2 linked regions of the Macaca fascicularis genome follow. The protein of the gene in region 1 interacts with the protein of each later gene in a pairwise test. Links are inferred from orthologs where the notes say so. Each region holds a gene or a part of one and is shown in the gene's direction. Other genes may lie near its edges.

The links. The genes of interacting proteins can lie anywhere in the genome.
Region 2: the proteins of AP3D1 (region 1) and VAMP7 interact in a two-hybrid assay, tested with the Homo sapiens proteins (2 studies listed by BioGRID and IntAct). The link is inferred for Macaca fascicularis from reciprocal best matches to the Homo sapiens genes AP3D1 and VAMP7.

What each region holds. Positions count from the first base shown.
Region 1 is NC_088393.1:2,759,759-2,763,409, reverse strand, and holds part of AP3D1 (AP-3 complex subunit delta-1), read left to right. Parts: coding exon 1-94; intron 95-1,287; coding exon 1,288-1,433; intron 1,434-1,907; coding exon 1,908-2,049; intron 2,050-3,651. UniProt on the Homo sapiens protein: Part of the AP-3 complex, an adaptor-related complex which is not clathrin-associated. The complex is associated with the Golgi region as well as more peripheral structures.
Region 2 is NC_088395.1:161,929,581-161,933,231, forward strand, and holds part of VAMP7 (vesicle-associated membrane protein 7), read left to right. Parts: intron 1-1,478; 5' UTR 1,479-1,487; coding exon 1,488-1,633; exon of another isoform or gene 1,634-1,649; coding exon of another isoform or gene 1,650-1,654; intron 1,655-3,651. UniProt on the Homo sapiens protein: Involved in the targeting and/or fusion of transport vesicles to their target membrane during transport of proteins from the early endosome to the lysosome. Required for heterotypic fusion of late endosomes with lysosomes and homotypic lysosomal fusion.

The sequences.
Region 1 (3,651 bases):
CGGGGAGGCAGAGGGCGCCCAGGCCGTCACCCAGCTCATGGTGGACCGGCTGCCCCAGTTTGTGCAGAGCGCAGACCTGGAGGTGCAGGAGCGGGTAAGGCTGCACTCGGCGTTGGGCCAAGCCTCAGGGAGCCCTCAGTGCCTTTCTGTCTAGTGGCGGCCAGGTTGACGGGGCCTCCCTTCCTCTTCTGAAGCCACTCACTGAGATTCCTTTGTTGCCACTTGTGCCAGCTGGGGTTTGGGGTTAGTCAGTGGGACCTTTAGGTCAGTGGGACTGGGCAGGTCTCTGGGGTGCTGGGTATGTGGGGGTGCTGCTCCTGGCCATAGGAAGAGCCTGTTTCACAGGCGGCGAGACAGCAGGTGTGAGAGCCTGGGGCTGGCTGTGGCTTTTTCTGGTGCCCTGCAGGTGACGTGGGTTCTGGGTTGAGCAGACTGTACACCTGTGCCAGCTGGTGCCCACCAGTTCCCAGGTCTCTGTTTTTCTGTTTGTTGTTTTGTTTTGTTTGAGATGGAATTTCCCTCCTTTGCCCAGGCTGGAGTGAAGTGACGTGATCTCGGCTCACGACAACCTCCGCCCCCTGGGTTCAAGGAGTTCTCCTGCCTCAGCCTCACAAGTAGCTGGGATTGCAGGCACCCACCACCACACCCAGCTAATTTTTGTATTTTTAGTAAAGACGGAGTTTCACCTTGTTGGCCAGGTCAAACTCCTGACCTCAGATGATCCTCCCACCTCAGCCTCCCAAAGTGCAAGGATTACAGATGTGAAACATTGCGCCTGGTCATCTGTGAGAGAGATCGGGAGCGGCATCAGCCCATCCAGTGGCTGAGGAGACCCAGCGTCAAGGCTGCATGGGGTGTGGCCCCGGGCTTCTCTGAGCAGTGGCATTATCTGGGGGCTGGCCATGATCCTTGGCCCATGGTCACTCTTGGAGCTGCCCAGCCTGGCTGTGTCTGAGTTGCAGCCAGCACAGAGGCAGGGAGCCCGCAGGGGCCGAACAAGGTGGTGCTTCTGGTGTCGGGGCACAGGCCTTATGGGAGGCATTTCTGCAGTGGGCAAAGCTCCCTGTTGTGCCCCCATCTCTGTTCTGTTTGTGGACTGGTCTTTTCCGCCGCTGCTTGTCAAGGATGACAATGGAGATGGCATGAAGGCTGGGCTCTCTGTGGGTACCTGGCTGTGCCAGAGGGCCCGCATGTCACTGTGCCAGGGGCTTAGCCACCCAGTGTCCCTGAGGGTGGCCAAATGGCCTTCCGGGCAGGTGCCAGCGGTGACTCCTGCGTCCCCCGCAGGCGTCCTGCATCCTGCAGCTGGTCAAGCATATCCAGAAGCTTCAGGCCAAGGACGTGCCCGTGGCGGAGGAGGTCAGCACTCTCTTTGCTGGGGAGCTGAACCCAGTGGCCCCCAAGGCCCAGAAGAAGGTTCCAGTCCCTGAAGGGTAAGGATACGGGGGTGGGGGCATTGCAACCACAGCCTTGACGTGGTCGCCTGATGCCTGGAGGCACAGAGGGGGCTATTGCAGCCCTCAACAGCCAGGAGGGTGTGGGGCTGATTGGAGGCCTGGGGCGGGCGCCCCTCGCTGGACTCACCGGGGCTCTCTCTGCTTCTGGGACCTGGCTGGAACCTGGGGATGCTCCCTGGGAGGTGGGCCTGCTCCACCCTTGCCATCAAGCTCTGAGGCAGCCTGAACCTGCCGTGAGGGCCCCACTGTGACCCTGCTGTAGCCTTCCTGGGTCTCTGCATGCTCTCTAAGGGGCAGTGACACCTGCCTCGCTGGCCCTGTGTGGGTAGCAGGCACCACTGTTTGGGGTCTCACATGGCCAGGCACGTGGTGAGCCTGCTCAGGGTGGGCGCCTGCAGGCACGTGCTCAGTCACACACACTGCCTTGTGTGACCCTCCTGTCTGGCACAGCCTGGACCTAGACGCCTGGATCAACGAGCCACTCTCGGACAGCGAGTCAGAGGACGAGAGGCCCAGGGCCGTCTTCCACGAGGAAGAGCAGCGGCGCCCCAAGCACCGGCCGTCCGAGGCAGACGAGGAAGAGCTGGCTCGGGTGAGCTGTTGGGTGCCCCTGGTGGGCCTTCGCCTCCTCCCTCCTGTCCCAGGGAGTCTTTGAGGCTCCTGAGTCCGGGGCTTGGTTCTGTTGGCTCAAGATTGTGCACCGCCGCCCTCCAGGACGCCCCAAGTGGGTATTTCATGTTATGGTTGAGTTTCATTGAGCTTCACTGAAATGGGGAGCATCTTGGTCAGGCGTGGTGCCTCATGCCTGTAATCCCAGCATTTTGGGAGGCCAAGGTGGACATATCATGAGGTCAAGAGATCAAGACCATCCTGGCCAACATAGTGAAGCCCTGTGTCTACGAAAAATACAAAAATTGGCTGGGTGCAGTGGCTCACGCCTGTAATCCCTGCACTTTGGGAGGCTGAGGCGGGCGAATCACAAGGTCAGGAGATCGAGACCATCCTGGTTTCAGTGAAACCCCGTCTCTACAAAAAATACAAAAAATTAGCCGGGCGTGGTGGCGGGTACCTGTAGCCCCAGCTACTGGGGAGGCTGAGGTAGGAGAATGGCATGAACCCGGGAGGCAGAGCTTGCAGTGAGCTGAGATCGCGCCACTGCACTCCAGCCTGGGTGACAGAGCGAGACTCCATCTCCAAAAAAATAAAATAAAATACAAAAATTAGCTGGGTGCGGTGGCGGGCACCTGTAATCCCAGCTACTCAGGAGACTGAGGCAATAGAATTGCTTGAACCGGCCGGGCGCAGTGGCTCAAGCCTGTAATCCCAGCACTTTGGGAGGCCGAGACGGGCGGATCACGAGGTCAGGAGATTGAGACCATCCTGGCTAGCACGGTGAAACCCCGTCTCTACTAAAAAATACAAAAAAATTAGCCAGGCAAGGTGGCGGGCGCCTGTAGTCCCAGCTACTCGGGAGGCTGAGGCAGGAGAATGGTGTAAACCTGGGAGGCGGAGCTTACAGTGAGCTGAGATCTGGCCACTGCACTCCCGCCTGGGCGACAGAGCGAGACTCCGTCTCAAAAAAAAAAAAAAAAAAGAATTGCTTGAACCCGGGAGGCAAAGGTTGCAGTGAGATCATGCCATTGTACTCCTGCAGCCTGGGTGACAGAGCAAGACTCCATTTCAAAAAAAAAAAGACATGGGGGACAGCTTCTCTAGATCCAGGAGCCCCCCTGAGGAGAACTCCATTAACCCTACCTGCAGCTGGGGGCATGTGGGTGCCTGTGTGGGGCCCTTCCCTGACCCTACCATAGCTGCTGTAAGACACTGCAGACACGTGCAGCCCACCCAGACCAGAAGCTGGGGAAGGTGAAGGAGGCCCTGGACCCCATCCTCCCGAGGCAGATGCAGCCCCTGTGCCCCGTGTGGGGCTCCACCTCGCCCTGCTCACCTGTGCAGAGAGGGGAGCCCCTCCAGCAGTCCTCTCCTTCCATCCTACACCGACAGAGGGAATGCCCATGGTGGGCTGCGTGCGGGCCTTTGTGCTCCTGCATCCTCCAGGCCGTGCTTTCAGGCAGCCCTGGCAATCAGGAGACCCTGTCCCGAGCTCAGCAGCCCCAGCCCGTCTGAGCTGCTCATCAGTAGCTGGGTAGCCCAGGCAGGTCAGCGGCCTCCGTGGGTCCTGGTCCTGACCCTG
Region 2 (3,651 bases), on another chromosome or scaffold:
GCAGGTGGATCTCTTGAGCCCAGGAGTTCAAGACCAGCCTGGGTGACATAGTGAAACCCTGTCTCTACAACAAAATACAAAAATAGCTGGGTATGGTGGCGCACACCTGTAGTCCCAGATACTACGAAGGCTGAGTTAGGAGGATCACTTGAGCCTGGGAAGTGGAGGCTGCAGTGAGCCGAGATTGTGCCACTGCACTCTTGCCTGGAGCTTGGGTGACAGAGCAAGATCCTGTCTCAAAAAAAAAGAAAAGAAACAGAACAGTAGGATCCACAGTTAGGGAGGCTTTAGGATCAAGGGAAATTAAAGTATAAGACAGCAATTTGGAAACTATAACTTGCTACCTATGTGTAAGGAGAATTCTAGAAAGAAGATGGTCGAGATCACAACCCTGAGGAACAACTTCAATTCAAGAGTAGGAATGAAACAGAGACCCCCAAGAGACATTCAGCCCAAGAGACAGATGAGCACCTTCTGCTCTGTGTGCTGTCCTTCCATGCTGGGATTGCAATAAGGAATCTGCATATTCCCTAGTCTCAAGCAGTTTGTAGTTTGCTGTTGTGTTTCACAAAGTATATTTGTGTGAATCACCTGCATCCAGACAGACTTGTGTTAAATACAGATTCCAGGGCCCTACCTCAGGCCTACGGAATCAGAATTTCAGGAAGTGATGCGAAGAGTTTGAATTTTTAGCAAGTGACTCATACTCTGCCACACAAGATGATTCGTATTCCCACTACAGTTTGAGAACCACTGGTATGTTGGGTGCTGAGCATGTTAACAAATAAGAGTAGGTTTAACAGTTAATCGAAGACTAGTAAAGCATTTGTTCATCTCTTTTTATGTTTACGTCATTAAATAAGAGAAGCTGGGCTTGTTAGGTGGGAAATAATAGCACATATTCATAGGCAGACTTAAGGAAAATAATCTTAAACTCATGCCATATTGTTTTAGTAATGTTTTGTTTATGAAGGGTCTTACCATTCCTTTCTTGTGGAAGCTTTGAGTTATTTTCACTTTGTTTCTATTATGGATAATGACTTTATACTGGCAGTGTACAGTAAAAGGATAAGATTATGGGCTCTAGAACCGTACTGCCTAGGTTTAAATTGCAGCTCCACACTTACTAGCTCTGTAATTTGGGGGAAATTATTTAAGTCATTTGTGCTTCAGTTTTCTCATCTATAATAGAAGTATCATAATAGTGTATAATCTCATTGAGTTGTGAGGACTAAATGGATTAATAATTATAAAGTACTTAAAATGGTACCTGGCACATAGATAGCAAAGGTACATAAAGATGTCTTCATTCTTTAATGTAGAATTAAAGCCTGCTGTTAAGTCTGTTGTTAAGTTTCATGTTATAGTACCTTGTTAGATATTATCTCCAGGTAGTATGTTGGCAAATGATAGTAAGTTACTTTTGAAAGATTATGTCAAATAAATATTCTAAATCTGTGTCTTTTTCCTTTTGATAGACTGAAGCCATGGCGATTCTTTTTGCTGTTGTTGCCAGGGGGACCACTATCCTTGCCAAACATGCTTGGTGTGGAGGAAACTTCCTGGAGGTGACAGAGCAGATTCTGGCCAAGATACCTTCAGAAAATAACAAACTAACATACTCACATGGCAAGTGAGTTCTGTTCTGCATGTGGTAAGGGATGAAAGAAGGGAATTCTGTTACTGTAATCAGAATGGTAGAAAAGCAGAAAACAAGCTTCTAGGTACATAATTTGAATAAGCTGACAGAATAGTAACCTTCAACAACTTAGAAAATATCTGGTTTTGTTACTTATAAATTTAACTTGTAATTATTTTATTCTGTTATTGAAGTGATATTGTTTTATTTTGAAGAAAGATATGGAAATGTTAAATATAAAAATGACTTTGCTCTAGAGCTGTGTGATATGTGAAATGATTCAGATAAGATAGATAATGTTCCTTTGTTCGTTCTTTCAGTAAATATTTACTGAGCGCTTAACTATTGCCAGGCACTTTGCTTGGTGCTGGGGATATAACAAGAAATGTAGTATTTGCCTCATAAGGGTTATAGTTTAATGAGGGAGGCAGTCAAATCCATGATGTCAAGGGTGGGAGGGTGGGAAGTAGTAGATAGGAGGATGGTATTCCAAGTAGAAGGAACAGCAGGTAGAGAAGTATGGAGGCATGAGATCATAGGGCGGGCATATTTAGGGAATTGCAGACTGTTCTCTGTGACTGGTGCCCAGGATGGTGAAAATAAAGCTAAAGAGAGATGGGTAGAAGAAAAGTCATGTAGAGCCTTGTAGGCCATATTAAGAGCTTGGACTTTACCCTGTGGGCAGTGGGAAGGCATTGAAGGTTTTCAGCCAGGATGTGACACAGTCAGGTTTTATTTATTTATTTATTTATTTAGAGACAGAGTCTCACTCTGTCACCCAGGCTGGAGTGCAGTGGTGTGGTCTTGGCTCACTGCAACCTCCATCTCCCAGGTTCAGATGATTCTCGTGCCTTAGCCTCCTGAGGAGCTGGGATTACAGGTGTGTACCACCACGCCCAGCTAATTTTTGTATTTTTAGTAGAGACGGGGTTTCACCATGTTGGCCAGGCTGGTCTCAAGCTCCTGACCTCAAGTGATTCACCTGCCTTGGCCTCTCAAAGTGTTGGGATTACAAGCGTGAGCCACCGCGCCTGGCCTTCAGTCAGTTTTTGCTTTAGAAAGATCACTCTGGTGACTGTTAGAGTGGCCATAGATGGGAAATCTTAGTAGTTAGTTTTAAAAAGTGCCTCAACCTTCCCCATTGGCACTTGAAAATCTTTTCTTACTTAACCCAGCCTTACTTCCTTAGTTCTTATCTCAGAATGAGGTCCTTATTACTTTCTATGGCTAACCCCTTATACAGTTTAAGGTCCACTCTAAGCTACTGTGAGAGAGACCCCCGAGATACAGTATTAATTTTAGTGAGATAGTCCAGAGATGAGTGGTTTGGGATGTTGGGGTGGCTCTGCCATTTCCAATTCCCTAATTCCCAAAGCGATTAGTGCTTTCCACCTCTGGCCAAGGCAGCTCCTTTGGTGCTTGTTATATCCCAGTGCTTGCCCAGTAATTTTAAAGGCAGGACCCAGAAGTGGCCTGATATTGTTGAGAAGTTTCTACTTACATCTTATTGTTCACTACACAGTCATGTAGCTAACATAGCTAGAAGGGAGGCCAGGAATTTTCTTCTGGCTATCCAGTCGTAGGCTCAACTAAAACTCTGTTACTCTGGAGGAAGTTATAGGATATCAGGGGATGACTTGCAGTCTTCCAGTCTGCTCTTCTGGCCACCCAGATATTTCAGTGAACCTTTCTTCCCAAACATAGAATACGCCTCTTCTCTGAGAAAGGTAGCTCAAAAGACCTAGTCACTGTGTTTGGCTCCAAGTCCAGCATGTCTAGGTGGTACACAGTCCTCTCCATCAGGCCCTGGTGTGGCTCCTGTGGTCTACTGACCATAAACTAAAAGATAAGTCATATGTTTTCCCTGCTTTCCCAGCCTAACCCAGTAGACAACGGTTCTGCTTTCTTGGAGGAACTCCCTCACCTTTTTTCCCTGACTCCTGGCTTTGTTCTACAAGAAGTTCTTCCTTTCTGGCCACATCCAAAATGGGAGTTAGAGAGTATATCATCTT